Linked DNA regions of Oryzias latipes. The protein of the gene in region 7 binds, or shares a complex with, the protein of the main gene of each other region. Links are inferred from orthologs where the notes say so. Each region holds a gene or a part of one and is shown on either strand. Other genes may lie near its edges.

Evidence for each region.
Region 1: snip1 (region 7) and cript share a complex: the UniProt entries of both Homo sapiens proteins name them as parts of the minor spliceosome. The link is inferred for Oryzias latipes from reciprocal best matches to the Homo sapiens genes SNIP1 and CRIPT.
Region 2: snip1 (region 7) and sf3b2 share a complex: the UniProt entries of both Homo sapiens proteins name them as parts of the minor spliceosome. The link is inferred for Oryzias latipes from reciprocal best matches to the Homo sapiens genes SNIP1 and SF3B2.
Region 3: snip1 (region 7) and snrpg share a complex: the UniProt entries of both Homo sapiens proteins name them as parts of the minor spliceosome. The link is inferred for Oryzias latipes from reciprocal best matches to the Homo sapiens genes SNIP1 and SNRPG.
Region 4: snip1 (region 7) and srrm1 share a complex: the UniProt entries of both Homo sapiens proteins name them as parts of the minor spliceosome. The link is inferred for Oryzias latipes from reciprocal best matches to the Homo sapiens genes SNIP1 and SRRM1.
Region 5: snip1 (region 7) and rbmx2 share a complex: the UniProt entries of both Homo sapiens proteins name them as parts of the minor spliceosome. The link is inferred for Oryzias latipes from reciprocal best matches to the Homo sapiens genes SNIP1 and RBMX2.
Region 6: snip1 (region 7) and armc7 share a complex: the UniProt entries of both Homo sapiens proteins name them as parts of the minor spliceosome. The link is inferred for Oryzias latipes from reciprocal best matches to the Homo sapiens genes SNIP1 and ARMC7.

Annotation. Positions count from the first base shown.
Region 1 is NC_019877.2:12,480,875-12,485,042, forward strand, and holds the start of cript (cysteine-rich PDZ-binding protein), read right to left. Parts: upstream 2,801-4,168; 5' UTR 2,688-2,800; coding exon 2,672-2,687; intron 2,469-2,671; coding exon 2,403-2,468; intron 1,031-2,402; coding exon 976-1,030; intron 828-975; coding exon 724-827; intron 1-723. Other genes in the region: pigf (phosphatidylinositol-glycan biosynthesis class F protein), read left to right, coding at 3,216-3,443, 3,960-4,051. UniProt on the Homo sapiens protein: As a component of the minor spliceosome, involved in the splicing of U12-type introns in pre-mRNAs. Involved in the cytoskeletal anchoring of DLG4 in excitatory synapses.
Region 2 is NC_019876.2:19,493,338-19,496,888, forward strand, and holds the end of sf3b2 (splicing factor 3B subunit 2), read right to left. Parts: intron 1,891-3,551; coding exon 1,791-1,890; intron 1,356-1,790; coding exon 1,164-1,355; intron 848-1,163; coding exon 776-847; 3' UTR 501-775; downstream 1-500. UniProt on the Homo sapiens protein: Component of the 17S U2 SnRNP complex of the spliceosome, a large ribonucleoprotein complex that removes introns from transcribed pre-mRNAs.
Region 3 is NC_019865.2:4,866,768-4,870,629, forward strand, and holds snrpg (small nuclear ribonucleoprotein G), read right to left. Parts: upstream 2,462-3,862; 5' UTR 2,348-2,461; coding exon 2,316-2,347; intron 2,173-2,315; coding exon 2,150-2,172; intron 1,996-2,149; coding exon 1,871-1,995; intron 660-1,870; coding exon 609-659; 3' UTR 501-608; downstream 1-500. Other genes in the region: zinc finger protein Xfin, read right to left, coding at 3,710-3,862. UniProt on the Homo sapiens protein: Plays a role in pre-mRNA splicing as a core component of the spliceosomal U1, U2, U4 and U5 small nuclear ribonucleoproteins (snRNPs), the building blocks of the spliceosome.
Region 4 is NC_019880.2:16,881,506-16,885,005, reverse strand, and holds part of srrm1 (serine/arginine repetitive matrix protein 1), read right to left. Parts: intron 2,426-3,500; coding exon 2,255-2,425; intron 2,119-2,254; coding exon 2,024-2,118; intron 1,590-2,023; coding exon 1,368-1,589; intron 1,282-1,367; coding exon 1,096-1,281; intron 1,019-1,095; coding exon 899-1,018; intron 612-898; coding exon 409-611; intron 187-408; coding exon 109-186; intron 1-108. UniProt on the Homo sapiens protein: Part of pre- and post-splicing multiprotein mRNP complexes. As a component of the minor spliceosome, involved in the splicing of U12-type introns in pre-mRNAs. Involved in numerous pre-mRNA processing events.
Region 5 is NC_019872.2:23,468,279-23,472,250, forward strand, and holds the start of rbmx2 (RNA-binding motif protein, X-linked 2), read left to right. Parts: upstream 1-1,172; 5' UTR 1,173-1,275; coding exon 1,276-1,280; intron 1,281-2,814; coding exon 2,815-2,930; intron 2,931-3,012; coding exon 3,013-3,064; intron 3,065-3,132; coding exon 3,133-3,262; intron 3,263-3,337; coding exon 3,338-3,524; intron 3,525-3,593; coding exon 3,594-3,871; 3' UTR 3,872-3,972. Other genes in the region: ap4m1 (AP-4 complex subunit mu-1), read right to left, coding at 322-379. UniProt on the Homo sapiens protein: Involved in pre-mRNA splicing as component of the activated spliceosome. As a component of the minor spliceosome, involved in the splicing of U12-type introns in pre-mRNAs.
Region 6 is NC_019877.2:19,373,068-19,377,193, reverse strand, and holds armc7 (armadillo repeat-containing protein 7), read right to left. Parts: upstream 2,801-4,126; 5' UTR 2,554-2,800; coding exon 2,463-2,553; intron 1,715-2,462; coding exon 1,571-1,714; intron 1,488-1,570; coding exon 1,144-1,487; 3' UTR 497-1,143; downstream 1-496. UniProt on the Homo sapiens protein: As a component of the minor spliceosome, involved in the splicing of U12-type introns in pre-mRNAs.
Region 7 is NC_019874.2:23,603,914-23,607,930, forward strand, and holds the start of snip1 (smad nuclear-interacting protein 1), read right to left. Parts: upstream 2,801-4,017; 5' UTR 2,673-2,800; coding exon of another isoform or gene 2,602-2,672; 5' UTR 2,497-2,601; coding exon 2,357-2,496; intron 1-2,356. Other genes in the region: dnali1 (axonemal dynein light intermediate polypeptide 1), read left to right, coding at 2,924-3,004, 3,211-3,323, 3,875-4,017. UniProt on the Homo sapiens protein: Required for pre-mRNA splicing as component of the spliceosome. As a component of the minor spliceosome, involved in the splicing of U12-type introns in pre-mRNAs. Down-regulates NF-kappa-B signaling by competing with RELA for CREBBP/EP300 binding.

The DNA.
Region 1 (4,168 bases), on a different chromosome or scaffold from region 7:
AGCCTTTGGGTTTCACTTGAATAGCAAAGTTTGACAAACATCTCAATAAATAAATATTTTATTTTTGCCCATTTAGTTGTTGTTTCACAGCAGTTTGGGTTGTGCATATATTCAGGCATAATTTTTAGCTCAGGGGCTATTTTTGACCACTTCATCAAAACCTGCAATATTTGGGGCACAACATGCAATTCTGCAATCAATGTAAAACCTTGTATCCACTTCTGCAAGCCGAGTGCTTGGGGCTGGGGTCGAGGTTTGTAAAAATATGGCTTTTGAGGTTTGAATTTCATCACTCAGTTCAAATACTTTACAGACATAAACAAACAGTTAAGTTAACCTATTCCTATACCTTTAAATTCTTTGTATCAGTCACCAGGAACCCTAAAAAAATTACATTTACATCAAAGGATATTTTATAAATTAAAGTGTGTAGTGAGAAGATAATAAAGGACTTGCCAACATGTGTACATTTATATAAATGGGCATCTGTTATGGAAGCACAAACATATGCCAGCACAATGTTGGTTATAGTAAAGATTTACAAAATTACAGACAAATTTATATCAATATTATGACTGAACATAAAAATGAAAAACCTACTTAATACTGTTCTGCTTTAATATGATTTTTGGTTCTACAATACATTGTAGTGTTAATTTTTGACATGTTACCTTCAATTTGTATTGAAGAAAATAAAAATAGAGTTTAAGTGCACAACTATACCTTTCTTGTAAGCACAGCCCTGGCAGTAGTGCGATCCAGGCTGATGAACAGAGCTCTTGCAGATTCTGCAGATGGCAAAGCCCGTCTTACTGTAAGGGTCGAACCTGAGAAAAACCACAGTTAAACATTGAGAATTAGCAACATCAAAGAACCTTAACAGCAAAATAAACCACTAGTGCTTACAGAAAGCTAGAAACTACTACACTGCCATTTGATTTATGAGTAAAAGTTTTTTCACAGTGCAATACTCACCTGGCCTTCTTAGATGTCAACATCTTGTTTTCATTTAGTTTACGGCCTCCACTCTCTAAGAAAAATAAAACAACATTGTGAGATTATATATACACATGTATGTACATACATACATACCAGTGGCGATTTCTTTAAGACTGCAAGGGAAGCTCTGCTTCCCTTATAATGTCACAAAATAAATGGTCAAATATGTACTATTGTATTGTATTGTATTTTATTTTATTAACATTTTATTGACTAAAAATGTGTAAGAAAACGTTCATCTCAAAGACGAGTTCGTTAAGAATCAGTTACATATAGCAAGTCGCCTGACTCGATTTCCTTCTCATACATTCCCGCAGCATCACAGTGCATTTCTCTAAAGAAGCCCAGCGTCCATTGACTTCAATCGGGCTGCTTTGAACATTTTTTTTCTGCGCTTCGAAACTAGATGGTCATTGGATAAACGCTGTGATTATGTCCCGCCAACGGATGCTCAGCGTCTCTGGGGGTGAGTGGGGAGTGGGCCAGCCCAAACTCCGAGCTTCTCCGTGATGATTGAAGGGTCTGTTAAAAGACCGCCTTCTGACTGAAGCTTTTCGCTTATTCACATTTCTCAAGTTCAGTCGAACTAAAAACTGCTGCAACCTATTTCTTTGATAATTGCTGGGCTAAATTGCTTGATTTTCATCATACATTTCACACAATTATACACCACATTGATTGTTTCAGTTTTACAGAGTTTAATATTTTTTTTTAGATAGTTAATTCTTCCCTTTGATTCAGGAAGACTGAGGTCAGAACTTCAAGTCCTGTTTTCAGATCAGGACTTGCAGGGTAACAGGGGAAAGCTGTATGATTACTTGGTGTTCCTTAAAGACATGGAGTTGGACAGTCCAATGCCTCAGCTTTACAAACTGTTCTCATTAGTGGCAACAATTGGAGTTACATCTGCAGGTGTAGAAAGGAGCTTCTCCTGTTTAAAGTGACTTAAGTCCTACACCCGAAACACAATGGGCTAAGGCTGTTTAAGCAGCCTAGCTCTGCTGGCCATTGAGAGGACATTGGTCAAGTCAGTTGAGACACCTAGTTGGTACGACAGGGTCACAGACCATTTTCTTGAAAAGGAACGTAGGGCATAAATACTTTTAAATAAATAGACAATTTTATGATGTAGGCCGAAAATGAGCCGACAGACAGACCGACAGACAGACAGACCGACCGACCGACCGACCGACCGACGGGGAAAACAGATATGTAAATGAGTACTGTTCTAATAAATATTTTAGCAGTAGCTTCTCCTTCCATCGTTTCGATTCCTTAATGACGTTCATTTACAAGACAGATTTTTTGGGGGCAACATATTTATTTTACCTGTCGTTCCACGATTGTCTAAATTATTAAACGTGTAAACATTTTTGGATGTTTTTGGATAGAGACTACGTTACCAGTCGTATTTCGTGCTCCATCCTTCCAAGTGTCAGGAGTGATGACCTTTCCGAGCTTCTTTTCGCCTAAAATATTAGGAAATCCCACATTAACAAAGAATTATTAATAATTAACAAAGCTAACTACGAGCAAGGAAAACCAAAACAAATGCTAGCATAACAAAATATTAGCCACTCAACAAAACAACAAAAATGTCACTAACTAACTATATTAACTAAGTCATAAGTGTAAAATTATGTAAGAAACAAGGCGAAAGTGCGATATTTACATTTTTCACAAACCATCTCAGCTGCGTTTACTTGGCCTGTCTTGATATAAAATGTGTACAAGCGTTCAAGCTAGCTCTGCTCATGTAACTTCCGGTTGTCTTCGTCAACTTGTACAAACAAATCTCATTGGGTAATCCTGTCAGTAAAACGTTATGTGATTCGTTCACTCCGACTAGAAGCGCATTTCTAAAATCCAGAATAAAAGTAAAATGAGAGTAACAATATTTTCGCCACGGAATCAGCACTCGAAAATATAAATTTCACTTTAGAAAATAGTATTTTATTATAAAGTGTTGAATATGATTTAAATATGTTGGGTAATGTATGTCAAAACAAAGAAATTGGTAGAAATTAACAATCAAAAGAGAATCTTCTGTTTTATTGTGAAACGCAAACGGAAATTGCTTTTTTTTTTTCATATTTACGGAAGCGTAGTCATACATGGATTTGCGTGTCCTTTCGCCTACCAAAATTCTAAGACACCTCTACTGAAATTATCTACATTATTCTATTGTCTTGTTGTGAAAAGTGAAAGTCTTCATCATGTGGGACCACGAAATCAGAGCCATGGTGTCGACCCACGCTCTGATCGCCGCTTCGATGTTCATGGCTACGGTGCTACCTGCAGTTTTTGTTCTAAGCTTCTCGGTGTACGGCACTCACCTGTTGTGGCTGTACTGCACATCCGGTGCTGTGAATGCTGTCAGTGTCGTCGTCTTCTGGCTCCTCGGCGTCACACCGTCCACTAAAAAAAATACACTTGGATATAAGGTCAGAATGTCTTCCCTCGGAAATGTCTTTATTTTGTCCAAACCCAAAGAAATGTGCTTGATTTGTTTAAGGTTTTTGCCAAATAGTCATACGTATATGAGAGAAGTATCAGAAATAATTATTACACAATTTAAAATAATAGAAAACTAGGTTTTTCAAAACAATTAATTCCTATTATTTACTCGTAAACGTTTTGTCTCGTTTTTAAAAAACAAATTTGCAAATGGACGTTTCAGTAATAATTAGAAATGTGTATTTCTGATTTGAACACATTTTTAATTGAGTTTATAAACATTTGCTACAGTGCTTTATTTTCACGTTAAACATTTTAAATTCATATGACAGTCTATATGCAATTGTTGCTTATTAACATTTTTCTGCTACAACAAACTCATATAAAAAAATAATTTTTCTGAGCTTTTACATATAAAAATTGTTCATTTTTTAAGTGGATTTTTCTCAAATGTCTACGTTGTAACTTTTTGGTAATAATGATAATCCTGTTTCTTTCCACAGCTTTCCAGGCTGTTTCGTGCCTGTCTGTACTTTTTCTTGTCATGTCTGTTCTTCCACACTGTGATTGTCCTTTATGGAGCCCCGTTGATTGAGTAAGTCTATTAGAAAAAAATCTTTGAAATTGTTTTTAAAATGTATCTGTAAAAAAGGGCAGATGTTTTCTGCATGCAGACAACTTTAGTGCATTCTCCTCTGTTTGACCAAATCAG
Region 2 (3,551 bases), on a different chromosome or scaffold from region 7:
GGAAACAAACAGGAGCGAATGAACATTTTTAGATACCCGTATACAGTGTCAGCATAAAAACCACAAACATTGGTCTTATCTCTGCAGCTGTCATGTTGAGCTGCTGCAGTCCTGGTAGAAAAGGTAATGCAGTTTCTTTCTTTGCACATTAAAAGGTGAGGATGCAAACTTTTCCCTCTGCAAATGAATATTTACCAGTGACCAATGTAGCATGAAGCGGCTGCAGCAGCTATGTAGGTCACTGTCCTTCCCAGACTGCGGCGCTCTTGAATGTTATCGACAGGCAGCAGTGAGGGGGGTCAACTCCAGGAGCTTTTCCAGAGTTTTAGCAAAGACATTTGACAAATATCAGGCAGACAGCTGCAGTCTGTGTCATCTGTCAGTGTGCTGCACGCGGATCACCCCACTCAGATTTGGAATATTACCTAGTAGTATGTGAATGTCAACAAAGTAAATGTGCATGAGGTTAATTAAAAAACATGGAGGCAAAGGAGCAAAAATGAGTTTATCAATTTTATTTACAAAAAAATGAAAATAAAACATGGTGGAACATAGCCAAGTTTAACAGAGGAAATACAGTTAGCACTCATGACGCATACAGTACATGAGATGCAGAGACAACATTGTTGAAACATAAAAAAAGGAAAAGGACCTGAAGTTACTGGTCTAGGATATGATTGGTTTTGAAGTCTAGATCCTCTCAAAGTGAATTTGGGGCAGGTCTCTTCCTCTTCCTGCTGCAGCCATACTTCTTGCAATTTATTTTGGTTTTTCTCTAGAACTTGAACTCTTTGTATTTCTTGGCACCTCCTCGTGTGTCCTGTGGCTGGGCCTTCCTCTTTTTTTGCTGTTTGGAAACAAAAAAGACGGAAGTGAAAGTGAATTCATTTTCAGATTACAACTCCAGGGAAAGCCTTTATGTTTTCTTTAATGCAGGATTGCATGTTTGCACCAAAATGGTCCAAATATGTAAGCTAATGAGCTTTACTAATGTTTTTATGAAGAGCCAATGAAGCCTACAACATCAAATCATCCAAATTTGAATTAGAGGATTATTAAGTTGAACAAGACTCCAATAATTTCTGTCCACTCTTTTTATGGAGAATCAAAAGCTGAATGTTTATTACTCTACATTTCCATCTGAAATATAATCAGATCCGTACCTTCTGTTTAGCAGCGTGCTCAGCCACCATGTCGCTGAAGTCCTCCTTCTCCACCTGGGCCTGCTGTTCTCTAACATGCTCCTCATACTTCTGCGTCATGGCCATTGGGTCAAGCTCCAACTCCTCAGGAGCCAGGGCCACCTCCACGCCCTGCGACTCCTGTCCTCCACCTGTCTTTCGGCTTACCATGGCCTGTAAGCAGCAGAAAAGGGGAAGAATAAACATTATTATGATGGAGTTTGTTAGATCATCTTTTGATCCATAAAAAGTGTTCCCTGTGGTCTTTCAATTATGATTATGCAGTTTTTAGCCAAAATAAATAAGCCTGTGTTGTTTGCTAGGGCATAATTAAAGTAGATTGGCAGGAGTTCATTAAAAATTCGCCACCGAGTTGTGGGCGGGACCATTGGTGCAAGCAACCCCGTCCCCGCTTTCCCCTTCCTGTTGCTGGGAGCTCGGAGCAGGGGGCTTTTGGCCCACCCAGTGTATTGTCTATGCCACAGATCGTCAAAAATAAAGTAATACTCATTTGTAATGCTTATTTCTTCTTATGTATGTCCTACATCATAAGAGGAATGCCACAAGAACATTGTGAAAACACATAGTCACAAACACATGCGGTCTTACCGTGGACATGTCGTAGATGTGAGTGGAGGCCATCATGGCTGCACCGACAGGCCCAGTTCTTCTCTCTGGGAGAACCGTAAAAAGCTGAGGAGTCTCATTCCTAGAAAATCAAAAACATTTGAAAGTGTTTATACTCACAGTGACATATTTCAATAGCTGCCTTTCCATTACACATATGCAAAAAAATGACAGAAATGTAGAAATACACAATTTCACAATTACATCGTTTCTATTAAATCCTAATTATGCAAATAAACACAAACCAAGTCACGTGATAAGTCATTCAAAAACATGGCAATGGATGTGAGCAATACTTTAATGCATCTTCAAATTTCTGCCAAGGCACTAGCGCTCATCATCTTCGCCCCAGTCGCTGCAGAATGTGACACCTGCTGGTGACATCACGTGCAACTGGAATTTTATGCCCGTACTGCAGTCACGTCACTTAACCTGAATTTATTTCAAACGACTAGAGTATGTGATTAAGGAGCAAAAATGTCTTTTTAACACTGAGGATGATGAAAACTTAACTGAAAACAAAGGAAATATCTAACTTCACACACACACATAGAGAGAGAGACAAAGAGAGGGAGGGGACAAGATAAATAATAAAGCAAAACTGGAAAGATGTTATTTACATTTAGACTAGAGAATGCAATTCGCCACTTTTTTCGCAGTATGGCAAACGACAAACAACATCATAGCACAGATGAAACAGCAAGCGACAGCATGGCTACCGGTGAGAGTGGGAAGTTTTTTCCCAAGAAAGGAATAAAATCATCTGTTTGGAATTGGTATGGGTTTACTGCCACAGACGTAGAAGAAGAGACCCCACGCTGCAACATTTGGCTAAAGCCCATTGCAGTCAAAGGCAGCAGCACCACAAACCTATTCCAACACCTGAAACGAAGACATCCAAAAATGCCAGTCTCTTCGAGGCGAACAAAACTGCAGTGACCAAAAAATACATAGCTAAAAACCCGCCAACTGTAGCCGAATTCTTTGCACAAGGCACCGGCGTTTGTACTGATTGCTTTCCTTAAGTGGGGGGGGGGGGGGGGGGGGGGGGGGGGGGGGTTGTGAAGAAAAAAAAAAATCAGAAGAGTTCATTTTGAGCAAATAAAAGTATTCCTGCATTTTCCAACAATGAAATTATCAAAATGGATAATTCTATGTTCTTAAATGAGCCAGCAATCTGAGATCTAAGGAAATCTGGTCATTGCTTTAAGTGAAATACAAGGAAACAAAAGGCTAATTGAGATAAAATGTAAAATTAATTAAAAACATTTAGAAAAAATGTTTGGTACAACATTTAAATTGATTAAAAATGAAGACTTCTTCACGAACAATACAATAAAAAAAAAAAACTATATTTTGATACATTCATGCATCTCGGACCGTTCCTGTAAAACTGCTCTCTGGGCACCGGCCCCACCTAATCCATGAAAACAAGTGGGTCCTCACATTATGATGTATTAAAGTGAGGAACAGCCCCTTCCAGGATGAGTCTGCGGTGCAGATCGGCTAAACATTTTCCTTGTAAATGCACAATTTGCACATCCATCTTTGCAATAGTTAGAACGTGGCTTGTTTTCGGGGGCGAGACGCAGCCACACTGCCATGGCCGTTGACATATTTAGAAGAGGATTCACTTGTGTAACGGAGTGGCTCCCAACCTCCTTAGACTGGTGTACCGTGGGAAACTGATTTGTCACATCATGTACCCCCCACAAATGTATTCATAGTCCTTAACAAGAGCTC
Region 3 (3,862 bases), on a different chromosome or scaffold from region 7:
TTTAGAAAAATTGGTAACCCTTTGTTTTAGTGTCAAGCAGCTAATGTTTTTAATTTTAAAATACCTTAAATTTTTTTCCTTTCAACGTGGAAACTTTTAAACTTGATAGAGCTCAAGAATAAACAAACTGAATCCAACTTTTTAATATTTTATGAACAAATACTTGCCTGCTAGTTTATAACAAGTTTGCCAGCTCATGAATGGAAATTACGCATATCTTAAATATTCAGCTGACTTTAGGTCTATCAAATTATTAAAATAGTTCAGCATTTATGTCTTCATCACCAGCATTCCCAACATTGTTTAGCCATTATAGCTTTTTAACAGCTAAGCTATAAAAAAAGCTTTCGAATTCCTTAAGATAAGACTAACCCTAACATTTAAGATATTCTTTTTTTGTTTAGCAGCTCATCCTCCATTACAAAAACACTAAATTCTTGCTGCATCTACAGGAAAGAACACATACAGTAACATTTCGTAAAACCAAACAAATGCACGGATAAAAAGAAAAATAGTTTATTAACAAACAAACATCTCAAAACCAACAGACTTTCATTGTGAATGAACTACAATGGAATGAGAAAACAGGAGGCGCCGCTGTGCTCTGCTCATACTCGCTCCAAAGCCTCCAACATGATGATGCTGTTTCCTCGGATGACCTTCGGGAAGACAAAAGGAAAACAGATCAGATCTTTTCACGTTTACACATTTATTTTTACACAATTGTGTGTTGAATAAGAGAAATGTTCTAGTTTGGGAAAAACTACTAAACCCTTTCCTGAGGCTGTCACATCAGGAAAAACCACGAACCTGCCAACGTTTGGTTTCACAGATATTCACTGGAACAGGCAATTGTTATTTGTTCTTCCGTAAAGACAGGTCAGTTTTGTTTCAGATAAACTAATTAGACATCTTTGGAAAAGCTGGAGTATTGGGGGGGGGGGGGGGGGGGGGGGGGGGCAGTATAATATATTTAAGAGAGATTTTCAGTAGGCATTGAGGCTCCCCTGTTGGTCTGGATGTATTTATTTTAAGTAGTAATGAACTTTTGGCTACACATAAAAATGTGGAAATGTTTTCCAGTAACCCTGCTTTATTTGCAGCTAGTCACGTGGATCAGGTGGATTTCATCAAGCAGAATCTGCAGCTTCCCGATCTAGAAAACCAGTAGCAACTAGAATACAGATGCCTGGAAAACAAACGAGGAAGTCTGTCTTATCAATATAATGTTATATTTACAAGAGAAAGTGGATAGAATAGGTTCTTTGACTAAAGAATTTTGAATAAACTTCGAAACAAAATTTGTTTTTGTAGAAAAAATTAAAAATTAGTTGCCGGAAATGATCAAAACCACTAAATGACCAACTGGGATTGCTTTAATTTATTTACTTTGACATGTTCTTGTGGCATTTTTCTGATGAGGACATATATTTAAAAAAAATATGCTTAAAATTGCTTTTCTGCGTATTTCTTTATTCAAAATGTAGTGAATTAAAAGGAGTTAAAAAAAAAGTAATTAAAACAAAAAAAGTGTATTTGTGAGGTAGAAAATTTTCTTTATCAAAAAGATGATTTTTAGAACATTTACATTTTTGTTACTAACTAGCAGACCCCTAACATATTTTATTGGTTCATATTTCTTTATAGGATTGTCTGGTTTGTTAGGAAAACAGTTGTGCATGTTTTTATAAATCTATGTAGACAGCACTCAAATTGGTTCAAATTGTCAAAAGATGGAATTGCTAATAAAGATAAAAATAAATAAAGAGTATGATCTTTAATTGAACCTATTCGTCCTGCTATTACGGGTGGGGTAAAACATTGAATTAAACTATTCCCTCATGCTTCACAGTTCTGCTCGGACACTGACCACCATCCCGATGGTGTTCTGCTGTCCCCCGGGGCCCATCTCCAGACAGTCGTCCATCACCAGGTTCATGAAGGGGTCGAACCCTCGCAGGATGCCCTGGACGTGTCTGCCTCCATTCAGCTTCACTGAAGAAAACAAAAAGAGCAAACTGATGAACATGAAGGCTGCTAGCTTAGCTAAAAGCGAATTTAATTTCACAAGAAAAAGCCGGCGAATGAATAGAAATATAGTGTAATTTTGAAATATGTATTAAATAATGAAACGAGAGTTTTAACTCACGGGAAAGCTTTTTGTCCATGAATCTGAAAGACAAAAACATTATTTAGATTTAGCTTCAATTCCTAGCTGTTCCGGCTAACGGTGGCTAACATGGAAACATACTACAATCTCGCGAAAAAGACCGAAGCTATCAGGCCTATCATCTTTCAAAAACTTGCAAACTTACTTCTTTAGCTCTGGTGGATGCGCTTTGCTCATGGTGTCTGTATTTTAACGAAACAAAGTCGTGTTTCAATTCACAAAACCGCGTAGGAAACGCGTGTGGACCGGGAGACCGGAAGTAAAACCCTGTGACCTTTGCTGTGCTGCGCCCTCGTGCGGCTGGGAGGAGTAATCTGGTTTAAAAAGGGATCAGCCAAAGGCAAATAATACTATTTGCAGTTAGAAAATGACCAAAACAACTATAAAAATACATGCACATGAAGTGTGTGATATATTTTATATATATATATATATATATATATATATATATATATATATATATATATATATATATATATATATATATATATATATATATAGAAAACCTTAAAAAACTCATTGTATTAATAGATTTTTATTTGTGCAAAAGCACAGCTGATTAGTTTTATTTTTTTTTGGTTGAACATCTGAGCTGTAATGATCAAAAGCAAAAATAAAATCAAACATACATTTAAAAAATGCGACAGTTTGTTTTACTTTTTCCTTTACAAAGGAAGATTGTGAAAAATTCCCAAAACATTTTTCAAACTTTAAATCATCACAGTGACACTGAAAAGAGCCGCTGAAAATAACTTTAGAGAAACAAAACTTTGAGGCGGCTGCTTTTGTTTGCATAGAAAGGAGATACAATCCACGTTTCCTGCTATCAATAAAGACATCAAAAACGTTTTTTATGAAGCAAAGGTTTATAGGAATTCATGCTAGACCCTCAGAAAAATGGAAATCTCATAAATTCGCACTCACTAAAAAAACAAATGGCTGAGATTCAACCCAAAATCTACCAAAGAGAACAGCCAGCCATTCAAGAGGATGTTAGCATCCATTACTTCATATTTCCTCACTAACATGACCTGAGCTACCTTAACTTTAAGAGGTTATGGGAACATTTTGAAACTATGATAAATTTGATAAACTATGATTTTTACTTTTACAAGCAATTTTAAAGAAAAAAGAAAAACAGCTTCATTCATCCTCAGTAGGATGTTGTTAGCAAGTTACCATGGTGATGTGCTCATGGAAAGCTGTCCTGACAAAAAATAAAATGTAAGAATTAATAATTATATATTTGCTGATTATTTGGAAGAAAACAGCACAATTTGACAAAACACATTCAGTGTATTAAAGACATAAATGATGATGTTAATCAGTGCTTTCCCTCTCCAGGAAGTTTAAGTTTTGATGGGAAAATAGCTTTTGAATCTGCCAGGCGTTGATTCAAATTGTAACAACTTTATTAACAAACAGAAAGCAGAAGGCATCGCACTTTGATGAGTAAACAAAAAATCAAATGTTCTCTTCAACCCTGAAGATGATAAAGCAAAAAAAAAAAGGCAGCTGTTGGACACATTCTGTTTCCCATCAGGCTTTGCTGGCCTGCTGTGCCAGCGCCTCCGACTCTCGGTCCTCCTCCACCCGGACCCGCAGGTGCTCCTGACAGTGTTGGAGGAAGCACTCCAGCACGGAGAAGCCCTGCTGGCAGGGCACGCAGTGGTACAGCCTGTGCCTCTTGGA
Region 4 (3,500 bases), on a different chromosome or scaffold from region 7:
TTCATGATAATTGTGTATTTTATCTAATATGGTTCCAAAGTGTAGCATTGTCATTTTTGATCCAAAGGTGTGAAACAAGAACATTTCTTTAACAGCCTCAGCTCTGACCTGACTCGGAGCCGTCAGAAGGTCCAATCTTAACATTTTCAGACGGAGATTCTCTTCCTTCTGGTTTTTGCTTGAAACCTGAAAATGAGAGTTCTGTAAGTTTAAAATAGTCTGTCTAGATTTCGAGCTTGTAGAATATTTATGTGTTAAATATTTTCGTCACAAAGAAATATGGACTGTAAAAAAACTTTTTCTTGGGGGGGGGGGGGGGGGGGGGGGGGGGGGGGGGGGCAGGTGTTGCTTTAAGGCAAGATAAGACGATACATTTGTTCTCTCATTGGACTTGAGTATACATCCTACCTGAGGATCTCGGCGGGGAAGCAGAGCCCTGGCCCCTTCTCATTCGTGGAGAAGGCGAGCGTTTGTCCTTTCCTACGGGGCTCAAGGATGTGGGGGGACGCTGTTTCCGGGGTGGGGTGGTCGACGTTCTTTTCAGGGGTTTTTTAGGAGAACGTAAACCAGAGGAGCTGCTGCCAGAGGACGAAGCAGAACGAGAGCGCCTCCTACAGACCAAAGGTAATTTTTTTTAATGTTTATTTTAATACAACTTTTAAGGCAATTTGGAACAACAAAAAAACCCACAGAAACCTACGGTATATAGATTTTGTGTCACATTAACACGATAAAAGTTAAATTTATGCATTTATTCCCTTTTTGATTAAGTCAAAATATATGCGTTTCTTTAGTGAGATATTTCTGGGAGCATTAACTGAAGTTCAGACTCAAACTCTGGATGAAAGGTTTTGTAACAGTATAACAAAATCATAGGTGAGCATCTCTGCTATCCGACCTTCGCACAGGGGAACGCCTGTGTCGATGTCTGGGGCCAGCGGGGCCCCGTCTAGGGGGACTCCTTCGACGAGGGGACATCCTCCTTCTAGGACTTTGTCTTCTACGTGGAGAGTAAGATCTGAAAAAGAAAAGAGAAATAAGCCTTTTGCAGCCTAATTTTTTCACACTAATTCAACAAATGATGTCCCACGTTACCTTGAACGGGAGCGGCGCCTACGGGAATGGGAGTGAGACCGGGAGCGGTGGTGAGGCCTTTCTCTCCTCGGATCCCTCTCCCTTTCACGTGACCGTGGTCTGTCCGCTTTTTTATGAGGTTTCTCCGGAGATGTTTCTTTAACCTCCGTTGCTGAGCTCGCTTTAGCGGCCTCTACAGCTGTATCTCTGCAATAAAAAAATGTTCAAGTGTTAATTCTCCACCATTTTAGATATGAATCAAATCAATCTGTCAAAAACAAAACACCACCAACCCTGCAGAAGAAGCTTCTTGAACGACTTGTTGTTGTGCGGCTTTTCCTGATGAATCTGGCTCCAAAGACTGCTCTGAAGGTTTAGTGGGCAGCTGCATAAGAGGGGGGGGGGAGCTGCCGCCGACTGGACTAGGCTTACGCCTGGGGGACCGTGATGGACTGCGTTTCCTTTCTCTTTTCACTGGTGACCTTCGACGTGGTGATGGAGATCTTGTCTTCCGCCTGAACAAAAAAAAAAAAAGAAAGTGTTTCAGTGTATTAAAGTAAGACTTAGGCCAGAACAGTGTATGGTTTTGTGAGACAATCCAAAGAAACATAAGATATAGCTTCACAATTAAAGCAAATGTACATCAAATCATGAATCATCAAATCTTTGGGTCCAAAATTAGCTAAATTTAGCATTTAATTGAAAGCAAAAACATTTTTTTAAAAGCTGGAAATACATTCAAGAATCAAGGGGTTAAGTAAATTCTAATCAAAACACATGGTTGTGAACACATGCATCAGGGAATACAATGTCATAAAAACTTATTTAAAGGGAAGTAAATTTATAAATATAGTTCTAAAATGCATCTGTTAAAGACTTGTCAGACAAGGTCCCAAAAAATTCACAGAAGTTTAAACCAGTCAACATAAACAATGATGATAATTCTAACCGTCTTGGACTCCTTGATTGAGCTCTCTCCCGGTTTTCCTTTTCCTTCTTATCTTCATCCACCTTCCTCAATGAAGCAATCTTCTCCTGTTCAATCTGAGAAACACCAAAAAGCACTGATCATACAGCTGGGAAGCATTGCATTCAGCTAAATAATCACCGACTACAACTTAACCCTGAAATACGTTGCTGTAGATCAATAATGTGACATAGGGGTGATGAGGAAGCGCACCTGTCTCTGTCTGATTTCCTCCTTCTTTTGCTCCAGGAAGGCAGAGGGGATGCCGGCGATGTTTTCTTGGGCGCTCAACAGCAGGGGCCACAGGTCTTTCATGAACTCTCGGGCATTCTTTCCATTCAGGAACCCTGTCAGGTTGATCTGCATCATCTTGCTGTCTGGATGCTGCAACACACAGACATGAAAAGGGGAAAAGAGAAAAAAAATACAGCTGTTGAAATATCTGAAAACAAAATATTAAAAGGAGGCAGGATCCCACAAATGGGAAGTCCTGCCTTCTATCCCTCACTAGACTAAACCTGGATTAATGTAATCATATCAAAACATGTTTAACAGTGACTATCATTTTACAAATATCTCAGTCCAAAGCTGGATTTACTACTAACCAATACAAATAAATCAGTTAAAAATGATAAATTCATACAATTATATAAACTCCATGCAATCTTTTTTAGTTTTAAATATGTTAACGTAGCACAGAAACTCAAATACAAAAATGTGTAATTTATTTTGTAAGTGCTACTTTGCTACTTTCCACTCCCAGTAACGCTATCCAACCCATTTCCCAGTCTCCCCCCCAGGCTACACTTTAGGGGTTCGACAAATTAACCATAATACAGAGTGCATTAAAACCCAACACTGCAAATACAGTTCCGGTGTCTTCAGTGAGTCCCGTGGAACCAGTGGGCACGGAGCTCCCTTGGCTTGCTTCCGCCTCCCTACAGCTTGAGACTCAACCACCTTGAGCTTAATGTTATATCATTCTAAATTGTAAGAGACGAACAAGCAATAATGAGTACACAGCAACACAAAAAATAGATTATTTTTATTTCAAATAAATGAAAAAGTGAGAACATTGAAAACTAGTTCTACTACTGTATTCATTCTTTAAAAAAAACACTAAAGTCCCCTTTAAATTCTAACAGCCCGACCCTCCCACCTACACACTTACATTTCTGGGATTTTTTTGGGCAAGTCCACCCACTTCGGAATTATATCTAAGAAAAACTTTACAAAGACTGCATAGAGACTCGCATTAAAACAGGCATAAACATTCAATTACTACTACTTGACCTACTTAAGATGTATCCTGAACGTCTACCTTTAAACAAAAGTTAAATATAATTATTGAAATGTCAACACACAGAATGTGCTGCTTAGAGAACAAAAACTTTTTTGCACTACGATTTGGTTAAAAATTGCAAATTACAATGCTGTTTTTGCCTTTAAACAAAGGTCT
Region 5 (3,972 bases), on a different chromosome or scaffold from region 7:
AAGCAGCATCACCATCATAAACACACTAAAAGAGGAATGGACAGACCATTTGGAATGATTTAATGAGAATGCATGGACGAACTCTAATTAACACATGATTCAGATAATTTTTAGGCCTTCAGAGAAGCCCATCACCATTGAAAATAACAACTTTAAAACACCTGTGTCTGACTGATGCAAAAAATGTACCCCAGATGGGCAAGTACAAGTACCCCTGCTAGAGTAAGTCTGTCCCAAAGGGGAGATCTTTCACTGTATAGCAGAACTGAACTTCAAAGCAGGATGATTTAAACAGAAGCAGGTGAGAGCTGAGAAGGATACAGTCTCTGAAGAGGAGGGGGTCGCCCTTCGAGGACAAGATGAAGAGCTGCCGGATCATCCTGCAGAGGATAGAGGACTGTCGGGGCAACAGTTCACCCCGGTGGGACAGCTAGGGGGAGTTTCAGTGCCACTGCAACATCTGCAGAAACAACATCTGCAGGAACACGTCCAAGTCTGTCTGCAGAACTGCAGTCAAGCCGAAATAAAGGAGAAAACCCCTGTTTATGGGGGAAATGACAAACAAGCAGCATCTCATATTCACTGCATGAAACTAGTTATTATGAGGAAAAAAATAAACTAACAATAAACAATCAGATTGTCTGGTGTGTGCTACTGTAGGTGTGCGTCACACATTAATCTCAAACGTGTTAAAGGTGACACTGAGTAAAGCGGAATAGGGTAAAGACAAGTCGAAGGAAAACTGAATTTACCTGAAAAGATGACACAGTTCAGACGTTTAAACTGAACTTTAAGTGTTTTAAAGCCATGCTAACGTGGAATTACAAATCATTTTCCAGTTCCACGTAAAATCTCCTGCAATGATGTCGACTCTAAGAAAGGGTGTTATTTAAACATTAAAAGCTTGAAAAACACAACACGCTTTAAAACGTCCACTGTCTGGTTTAAGTGTTGCATCCTGTTAAAAATGAACTGTTAGCTTGTTAGCGCCACCTGTCGTGCAGGCGGAAAGATTGGACGCTTGCTTTTTACAGACAGAACATTCAGCATTTCACAATTTCTTACAAAAATAAAATAAATACATTTCTTGTTTATTAAAAGCAGCATTCGGGCAGTGTTAGACGCTTCGCGTTCGCGCAGTTTTCTCGTTCATTTCATCTGTAGTTCGGTCATCCAACCACCAGGCGGCAGCACACGCAGAACCTCCACAGGAAGTGCACCACTTCTCCACGCTTGGTCTTTGGCACCATAACATCGCTGCTGTTCGAGCTCACCATGAAGTAAGTAAACGTTTCCCTCTACAGCCATTACATTAGTTTTTATTTTTCATTTGGTAGAGAATCCCTTTTCTGGTCGTTGGTTTCCTGTTGAGCGGATTCCAGCCGATAGCAGCAGGCTTTATGTTTCGTGTGTGTCGCCTTTTCCCCATTTCCATTCAAATTCTCCACTGTAGAACTTCAAAAACTTCTAAAAACTTCTAAAAAATCAAATTTGATTTTTTTAAACTTAATAGACCAGGTACTGAATAGCCACCTACTGAATTCGTACTTGCGTTTGATTGTATTTGCATTTTAGAGGTGTAACGATTGCATACCAATCAGTGGTTGTTGATGTGATTCAATCATTCGATAATTGTTCGTTTTATCCGATTCAGTGACCTAATGGATCCAGGACATCTTTATCCAAAACATCATCCAGTGTGACTCAGCGAGAAATACCTGCTACTGAAATGTGAAGTTTTCCAGATTCCTTAGATTTCTTCCAAGATAATCAAGTTTAAATTAAATATGTACAAACAAAGAATTAAAATCAAATCCATCCACATTTTAGTTTCCTGAAGTTCAGCCCACTGTTGTTTTTCCACATCCAAAGAATCCAAAGGGAACATTCTAGCACACTGTGTGGTCACATGACTTTCTAAATTCAGTTTTGGACTGGAATGATGGTTGATCAGTTTTTGATGAAATTACATGTTTTTTGTCTGCTGTAATGCACTCTGTTAATTTTGATTGTGTCTGAATTCCTTCAATACTCACTACCTAGGGGGCACTATGTAGTGCACTATATATTGCCCTATATAGTGCACAACATTCACCATGTTGTAGTGCTGTCCGAACCTACAATTTCAAAGTCGAGTGCCCTAGAAATTTCCCAGAAGTCTCTGCGAAAAAGCAGTGTGCATCGAGTGAATATAAACCACAATGCATTGCGTCGAACAGTTTTTGCAATTTTCTTTTTTTATGTTAGGGTGGGAACTTGGGGCACAGCCTTTATGTTATAGTAAAATGACCTCACCAGGTCTCAATCCAAACGGTGGTTTCCAATATCGATTCAATAGGCAGAGCTGAAGGTAGCAGAGATGAAGATGTTGAGGTTCTCTTTGGGAGAGACCAGGATGCATCAGGAATGAGTCCATCAGAGGAGCAGATCATGGTTGATATTTGGGACATGAATGCAGATGGAGATGGTTTGGAGGAGCAGCAGTGATGATGCTGAGGTTACAGAAACCAGGAAAGAGGCCTAGCGGAAGACCACAGAGGAAGTTCATGGATGAAGAGGAGGGCATGAGGGTTGTTGGTGGGGACGATAGAGGAGAGAGCTGGATGATTAATGTAGCAACTAAGAGACAAAGAAGATATGGTTGAAATCTTCATAATGTTCATTATGTTGAGATGGTGCATAAAAAAATAAATTGATGAAACATGAATATTAGAAAGCTGACCTTCAGGTTTATTTCACTTTGTTTAAATGAACAGAATCTTGACTGCTGTCTTCTAAAACACTGAAAGTTTCCTGCCGGTTGATTTGTTTCAGTCCTCTGACGAAGGTGAAGCTGATAAACGAGCTGAACGAGCGCGAGGCCGACCTCGGGGTCAACGAGAAGGTGTCGTGGCACAGCGAGTACCGGGACAGCGCCTGGATCTTTGTGGGTGAGGGGGCGGAGCTTCTCACAGGAACCTGCAGTAAATGAAGCGTGAAAGCAGGTGGTTGACGTCTGTTCTGATCCTGCAGGAGGCTTCCCCTACGAGCTCACAGAGGGGGACCTGCTCTGCGTCTTCTCTCAGTACGTACCCACAGCCTCGCTTTGGGGTGGGGTGGGGGCACACACCGCTTACTGATGTGTCCGTTCAGGTACGGTGAGATCGTCAACGTCAACCTGGTGCGCGACAAGAAGACGGGAAAGTCCAAAGGCTTCTGCTTCATCTGCTACGAGGACCAGCGCAGCACCATCCTGGCTGTGGACAACTTCAATGGCATCAAGGTGAGGCCCCCACCCCCCACCCGGGGCGGCGCCACTGTGAGCATCCTTAATGATGAAGCTCTTTCTCCCCTCCAGATCAAAGGACGCACCATTCGCGTAGACCACGTAAAAAACTACCGCCCCCCCAAAGACGGCGAGGACATCGATGATGTCACCAAACGCTTGAGGGAGGATGGCTGCGCCCCCACGGGCCCTGCCGCCCCCCCGTCCTCCTCTGAGGATGACGAGCAGCTCGTCATACCTGTGAAAAAACCCAAAAAAGGTGAGGTCACTTCCTGTTCTGTCATTTATGAGGGGGAGGGTCAGTTTCACCTGTACTCTTCTGCTGCAGACAAAAAAGAGAAGAAGAAAAAGAAGAAGGAGAAGAAGAAGAGCCGAGCTTCCTCCTCCTCACCTCCCATCCGAGTCAAAGAAGAAAAACGAGACACGGCGTACGACAAGTACGCCACGGGGGGGTCACAGAACGGACACAATGAGACGGAGAGGAGGAGGGAGGAGAAGAGGAGAGACAGAGATGTGGAGAGTAAGAGAGAGACTGAACGAGAGAGGGAGGACAGAAGGAGAGGAGAGAAGAGGAGAGAGGCGGACAAGGAGAGCTCCAGAAGATAGATGGAGGAGTAAAGAGAGGAGAATGATACATTCTCTCCTCAGCAGAAGAGCTCCCCCTGCTGGCTGACATCCTCCTGTAAACAAAGCTTCCATGAGAAGCC
Region 6 (4,126 bases), on a different chromosome or scaffold from region 7:
TAAATCCCTTTGTGCATTTGACCAATCGGATGGAGCCCTTTTATGTTAGATGCTCGCCTCATAGGTAGACGAGGGTCATTTGGAGTGTAAATAATTGAAACTATTTACATTTTACGAAACCCTTGTGATATCTTAGATGACCCCACCCTTACATCGACGTGTTCTCCCTACCATGACAAATGTGGATAAAGGTGGAAAGATGTCATGTAATCCATTGACACCAGTGAAGATCACAAATCATTGAAGAAAAAAGGTTTAGCGCACTGTCTAGTGGGTCTAGATGACCCAACTCCCAACGTTAAAATGTCTAGGATAGCACAAGGGTTAACCCTTGTTGTTGTAAAATTAAAATGCAGCTGTTTTTGCTATTTGTTGATATGTAGCAAGTATATTGTCATCGCAATATTGATCACCAATGTTGCAAATTTTCCTCATATCATGCCGCCCAAGTCAGGACTAAAGGGAGGAGAGCCAAACACTCACACGAAGGCAGAACTTCTGTAGATTTTTTTTATTTCAATAAAAGACACCTGAATTATCCAGACTAAGAAAGCCACAAACTTAGGCTTCCATGAGGTTTGGTATTTCTGCTGATTAGTGACAGTTGGTAGAAACGTATTCCTCCCATGAAAGCAGGATAACTTGGGTTTCTATATGTCTTTTTTTTTTAAATCTAATACGACTACAGACAAACTTTCCCTCATTTTTCCTTTGATGAGTATCTGACCTTTTCAGTTGGTGTCCAACATTTGAAAGGAATTATTTTCTGTCTAGTAAAACACATCTTTACCATTTTTCCATGAGAACAAATATACTCATTTTGCTGGAAGCCTGTTTTGAGCAAATTTCAAATTACTTTTATAAATGTACTTGTGCTTAAAAACATACAAAAACCATCTTAATATTCAGATTCTGATCCAGTGAAGACATGAGTCCTGTGCAAACTCCAGCTGCAAATGAGAGGAGGTGCAAGACCTGGACAAGCAGCTTAATTTTCCTCTCTTCATAACCAACTTTAGGGTGGATTTTGTTCAAAGGAAATCCTCCAGATCGGTTCAACATCTGCTGAAAACACCAGAAATTAAACAATCATAAAACCAAAACGGTCACTGTTTGTTTCCACTTGACTGTGAAGCAAAGTCTTTAGTCTTTGGGTAGTGGGATCCCAACAGCCATCTGCTGTCCCTGCATCTGCTGCTCGGCCTGCCTGACCTGATCCTTGGTGCAGCAGTCCTGCAGGAACACAGCAGCTAGGTTGTGCAGCCGGGGACTCTCAGCAAGAGAGAAACGCAGCATGCACTGCAAGATGCCTGGCTCTGTGAGCTGAGATTGTGAAGCTGGAGTCACAAGGTTCATAAGGGTAGTAATTGCTGATAGCACTGTCTCCTCCCTCTGGTTTGACAGACAGTTTGTGATTAAGCTGATGCCGTCACTGTCCAGGATGAGGTCCCTGCAGTCTGGGTCCATACTGAGGTTACAGAGCCCACCTGAGAAAATTTAGACCAAAAAAAATGTTTTTCACTGCATTTATGGTACAAAAAAACCCAAATGATAATCTAAAAAGATTCACCCATTCCAAACTCAATAAAGTTCTCGTTCTTCTCAGTCAACATATCCAGAAACAGGTCGGTCACTTGCAGCTGTCGCAGATACTCTGTGTTCTTTGGGTCGTAAGCAAAGTTGGCGAGGTTTGCCAAAACCTGCTCCTTTGCCTCTAACGACAACAGAACATAAATAAAAAACACAGAATCAGATTCAAATTCAATTAAATTACATATACTGGACATTAATGACTGAAACGGGAACAAGGACCAAAAGCAAGATAAATTTAATCCACCAGAGGGCGCTTTTTTACACCTCAACATTAAAAATAAGACTAAAGACCTGCATTCCTAAAAAATTATTGACGGACAATAATATGTAGTTTGATCCTTTATATATTGCATATAAAAGGCTGCAAAAGTCTATCAGCATAAATCATTAAATGGCATTTGTTAAATTTTGGTTTTATTGATTTTTAAAAAACGTCATTATGCATTTTTAATTTAGTATTCAAACATGATCGTCAGAATTACTAAAGCATAATTATTTAAAAAAAAAAATCTTAAAAGATAAATGCATTGTTTTTTTCCTGAATAATCTGTCCTGTTTCTAAGCATTCAGATTTTAAAAATTAAATTTTTGTAGTTTATATATATATATATATAATAAAATAAATAAAAATAAAAAAATAATTATATATATATATATATATATATATATATATATATATATATATATATATATATATATATATATATATATATATATATATATAAAGTGACTATCATGGATTGATATAAGTAAGACATGCTTTCATTACAATGTTTATGCATTAACAATTTAATTTCAAAGAATTTGTTGTAAACTAGCAATAATTCTTAGTTTTTCTAAATGAATCTGCGAGCTATTTGTGTTTTTACCTTCACTGTCACTATCCTGAAACTCTGTGACAAGAGCCTGTAAATATTCAAACCGGTCAGAGGTTTCGGGTGAAAAGTTCCGTTTCATCATTCAGTATCTTATATTGTGTTTTTAAGAAGACAAACGCGCGATTAAAACAAAAAAATAAAATACATTTGAAATAGTATCCTCATTTATGCATTTGGTTTCAGTAGTTCGTTCATTTTGTCCGTCTTTCAAATACGTCCGGCTTAAATTAGAATTTGGACAGTGGTTCCGGGATATTGTTTCGTGACTCTTTTTTTTTCTTCTTCTGAAGACTGGATGAACTGTTAACGCAACAGAATAACAATTAAAAATGAAACCCAAAAGTAGAATTAAGCTGTTCTTACATAAAAAAGAGCTGTCAATTTATTTTATCACTTAAAACGTTGTGATTTTTAATAATTAGGCCTATAATGTTTCGGTAATAAATCACTTTGATTTAATTTAATTAAATGATTACTTTTTGTCATAGACGATAAAAGCAAATTACTTTACGAAATTCAATTCTCAAACGGAAGTCGGTACTTCTTTGTCGACATAGACGTCAGTGCTGGACCGGAAGTTGAGGCGCTCCAACGTCCCTTCAGCTAACTAACTCACGCGCAGGAAGGTCAGCTGAAAACAAACTCACGTTTCTGTTGCTGTTTGGATTCTATGCCGTGAACCTTCTGATTTAAAGTTCTGCAGCAATGAAGCCTCACAAGCTCTCTGCAGCTAAAAGGCTCACGAAACCTATTCTGTTCGGGAGCATCATTGTTGGACTTGCCACTGTTTACATAAACAGGTGATCTATTTTCTTATTTTGTATAAAACAATAGGAAAGTTATAACGCAAATATAGACTTTAGTCTATATATTCAGAATATTTTTTTATGTGTTTAACGTTGGAGATTGTTGTCCTTGCGTAATGACGCTGACGTTTGATTGTAATCAAGTTTAAGAAAAACACTGAAAACATGTCTGTACTGTCCTTAAGTACAAATTAACATTGGAGCCAAACCATAATTTCATTAACAGGAAATTTTGTCTTTAAATATCTTTAGTAATAGGAAAAATACAACTATTTTTATTTTGTAGCCCTTTTTATTTCCAAAGCAAGGCATCACAGACACATACTCTTTCTTTGCACCACAAAAAATACTAACATTTAATTATATAAGTGTAAGACTGCAGGTAACAGCATTTTTAATTTATAATTAGTAATCATTTGTAATGAGACACTAATGTTTTTAATTAGTAGATTATTTAGCATAATTTCAGTTTTTGACCAGTATCTTCTACAACCTGGAGTGCAATTACTATTTAAAATAAATTAAAGAAATCTAAATAAATGTCTTTGTAAAATATATCTTTAAAATAAGAATCTTTTTTGTAAAACATATTGTGTTATTGGAAGTGGGGGGCTTTTTCACTTCACAAATTTCTCTTTTCTACATTGGTGTCACGTTTTTGACACTTAGTGCAGCTGCTTTTATCAGATTACATTTTTTAAATTTTTTTTAAATTTTTTTGTGTGAAATCTGCTCTGGTTTAGTTGGTGTACTGCTGCAGAGATTCCTTTTCTAAAAAAAAGTTTTAAAAAGAATTTGAGCTGCAGATTGTGCTTTTCCAAACCAGGTTACTGTCTTAAAGAGAGCCCA
Region 7 (4,017 bases):
AACAGCAGAGAGTTCTGACCTGCAGACAACTTGACCTCAACTTTCACCGTCGCTGATATCAGCTGAAGAAGGATATGGACCTGAATCTAATGTCTGCAGTCATAACATCGAAGAGAACTATAAACTCTGTTTTGAACCCAGAAGTACGGCTGTTATCAGTTAAAGAAGAAAGACCAACCTTGGACAATCGACAGTTATGGACCCTTTTTACTTTCCCCCTACAGCATTACTTTATTATAAAAAAAATAATAATAAAAATACAAAAAAAATATTTAAAAAAGTAAAACAAATGATTAATGACTTATTGAAAATTGTTAAATTGATTGCCTTTTAATGATTTTATTTCACTTTCTCCAAAAATTGATAAATTGATTCAAAAATCTTTCCTAATGTAGCATAATTTTGCACATGTTTTTAACTTTTGATACTTGATGAAATTTTGCTATGAAAATTCCTGAAACAGTGTTGTGTCTACTTTACTGATATAGTATTATGTTTTATTCATATGAATGGCTTTTATAAGTAACATAATCTGCATATATTTCAGATGACTGATCTGCATTTGCCATGTTGATTTCTAAAATAGTTATTTTTGACGTAATACTTAAGTAATTCATCTTTGTCATGTGCTTTATCGATATCTTATGATTTTTAATTCTGTATGATATAAACTGGGAACCGGATATTGATAAATCATGTAATAAAATGGTTACAGTATAACGGGGTGGGATTATATAAATTCGCTTCCTTCCACTCCCTTTCAAGCAATATTTATTAATATGTATAATTATCCTAAGTTTGATTAGTTACTGTATGAATGTATAACTGATGATTATATTGCTGTTGTGTATTATTTCTACTTAATTGCTTGAAATAAACCATTTCAAATAAAAAAATAAATAAAATTGTTCTGGTTCTCTGTTGTCATCTATTGTTTGTATGTTTGTACCTTGAGCCTAACGCCGACGCTGCATCAACCCAATTTCCCAAGCTGGGATCAATAAAGTATATTTATCTTAAGATCATTTTGTAAGTGATATTCTTGATTCAAATGGAGAAATTCTTCAGTTAAGAGACTTCAAAGGTAAATATGATATTGAATGCTCAACCGAGGAATTTCAGAAAACCTGCTGAGCAATTCCAATTGCTTCAATACATTTAATAAAAAATACAATATTGTCTTCCTATGTTCAAATTAAACTACCAAATTTAGTAATAGGAGAAATAAAATTTAGTGAAAAAAAACGTGATAATAAATTGCTAAACAAATCCTTTAGAGGTAAATTATACCATGACTTTAACAGAAAAGTGAAATATAAAATAACTGAGACACCTGTCACATCAGATGCTCAACTATGGAAATTCATAAAATGGCCAGTGGTTCCCAAAATTAAAGAAATGCAGTTCAAAATTATAAACAATTATTACCCATCGGCAGAGACATTGAGAAGTAGATTTGGCTTTGAGGTTGATCCGTGTGATTTCTGTCAGGTAACCCCAGAAACAACCCAACACCTGTTTTTTTCATGTCCAGACCAGTGAAAGATTCTGGCAAGATTTTCATAATTGGCTTAGTCAAAAAATTAACAACATACAATTCACAGAAAAACATATTTTGTTTTAAAACAGTAAGTTGCCAAAAGAGCCAACAAATAGTGAACATCCTCCTGATTTTGGGAAAATATATTCATAAGCAAAAGTGGAAAAAAGATCGGCCGAATTTCCTGTGTTTTAAAAATGAAGTCAGATTGTATTTATCCTCATTGAAATGTATTCACAACTCAAATTCTTTCATTGATGACATTTGTAAATCTGCTACAGAATGGTTACAAATCTAGGGTCCAGATTGTTGATTGCCTTGTATTTTAATTTATGCTGATAGTTTTTTTTATATATGTATACATTCTTGTTTTTTTTTTATCTTTGTTTTTCGTGAAGAGCTGTGCCTTGCATCATTGTGTTGTTGTGTCTGCCAGAGTTTTGTAATGAGTATATTTCAATAAAAAAAAAAATTAAAGCAAATTTTATGTCTCTAGTCTAACCTTGATTTATCAGCAAGACGGTAATAAAATATCTTAGAACAATAAACAAGATTTACTTGATACGAGTCAGATACTTATACTACTTTTGACACAAACGTGTTAAGGATTATTTGATTTACAGAAACCTCAGATCAAAACTCTTTTGGAGCAACCGGGTATCCCTTACGTTAAGTGTTTATTCCGTAACCGTCAAAAATGAAAACCGGAAGCTAGATTTTCATCAGCGAAAGTACAACAAAAAAATAATGTTGTGAATTGTTTTATATTTAGACAGTTTTACGTCATGAATCGTAGTAAAACCTTCAGACATTTACCTGCTAGCTCGTCTCCCCTGTGGACTGCGTGATCTGTGTGGCCTGCTAGTGCTACTCGGGCTCAGTTTCTCCTGCTTTATCTTCACTTCGGGCTGCCGTTCTGGAGACTCCCTTCTTCTGTCTCGCTTTTCTTTAGTCATTTTAGTTTATTTTTCCAATAAATTTGAGCTCAATTCAACCAAAACACGACACAGTAGCTAGACAAAGACAAGCCAAGATAAAAAATAAAACCTTTGATGCGTTACCAAACTTCTGGCGTTGTGAAAACAAACTTCCGTTTCCGGTGACTCAAATTAATCCCCTCGACGTGCTCCATGTGCTCCCTATTGTTGGTTCCGCCATGGCCTAATTCGTTTTAAATGGGGAAAACGTGATGTTCAAGTTTTTTTTGTCATAGACTGAAGCATTGATGACACATATACGTGTCGTATTACATAAAAAGTATTCTTAAATGAAACTTTGTTCAAATCAATATTATTTTATTTTGAAAAAGTGTCGCCATGACAACACAAACAGTGAAACGGTATTTCTAACAAAACGTGTAACTTGCTCTCTCACCTCAAAACGATGACTTCTTTTGGCGAGTCCCTCTTGAAATACGATAATCCGATATTGGTAAAAACAAAAGGAGATAAAAAATCTCAAAAGGTAAGTCTTGATGGTTAATGATCTATTTAACTGGCGCCCAGAAACTATATCAATTAAGGCTAGAAATCTCATTGTACTTCCATAATTTCTTTATTGTGGACAATGAAAGGCTACCAAATAAAATCTTCAAAAATAATAAAAGAAATTACAAAAAAATAATAATACAAATAAATGTACAATTTTCCCCCCTTTTTTTTCGTTAATAGGGACGTACTCTAACGTTGAGCAACCTTCCAGCTCCCAGCTTTGCAGCAGGTGTTCCATCTCCCCCTACACAGAATTTGGATGAAAACATTTTGCATGCCATCTTACCACCTAGGTAAAAGAAAACCTCAAAAGCTCACCTAAGCACAACGATTCAGATTTATTTATTCTAGATTCATTATTATTTATTCTTCTTCCTAAGTTATGCAGACAAACATAGACTGTGGCATGCACCAGAGCACAATGACCATCCTCAACTTTTATTTCTCAAAAGTCAAATCTGGGAAATCAAATAAAATCAGGCTTTTTTTTTGTAAAACAGATGCTTTTCATGCCATGTAACTCAAAAAACTTTAAACAACACAGTGGAACAGCTACAGTTGGAACAAATGTAGTTTTTATGTGATCCAAAGATCACCAACAAATCCTAATGTCTAACAAGGAAAAGAGGAAAGGTCCTGTAGCTCAGTGAATGTCCAACTTTCATCAACTTAAAAAGATCAAGTCTTGACAGCAAATATTGCCCACAGGTGCATTATCACACATACGTCTGCTTTTTACTTAATTCAAAAATAAAAAGCTGACACACAATCTAAGATCCCGAAAGCATCCAAAAGTTACTGTCAAATGATTTTCCAAGTAAATTCTGATTTCTTACCATTACAGAGAATGGACAGAGGGGGACCAACAGTGGGTGCAGAAAGTATCTACAGCCATTACCACGAGGAAAGATGTCATTCATCTGCAGGAGCAGCTGAACATAAAGCTAAAGCAGAAAAAGGCCAAACCAACTGGCATCTGCCCCATCC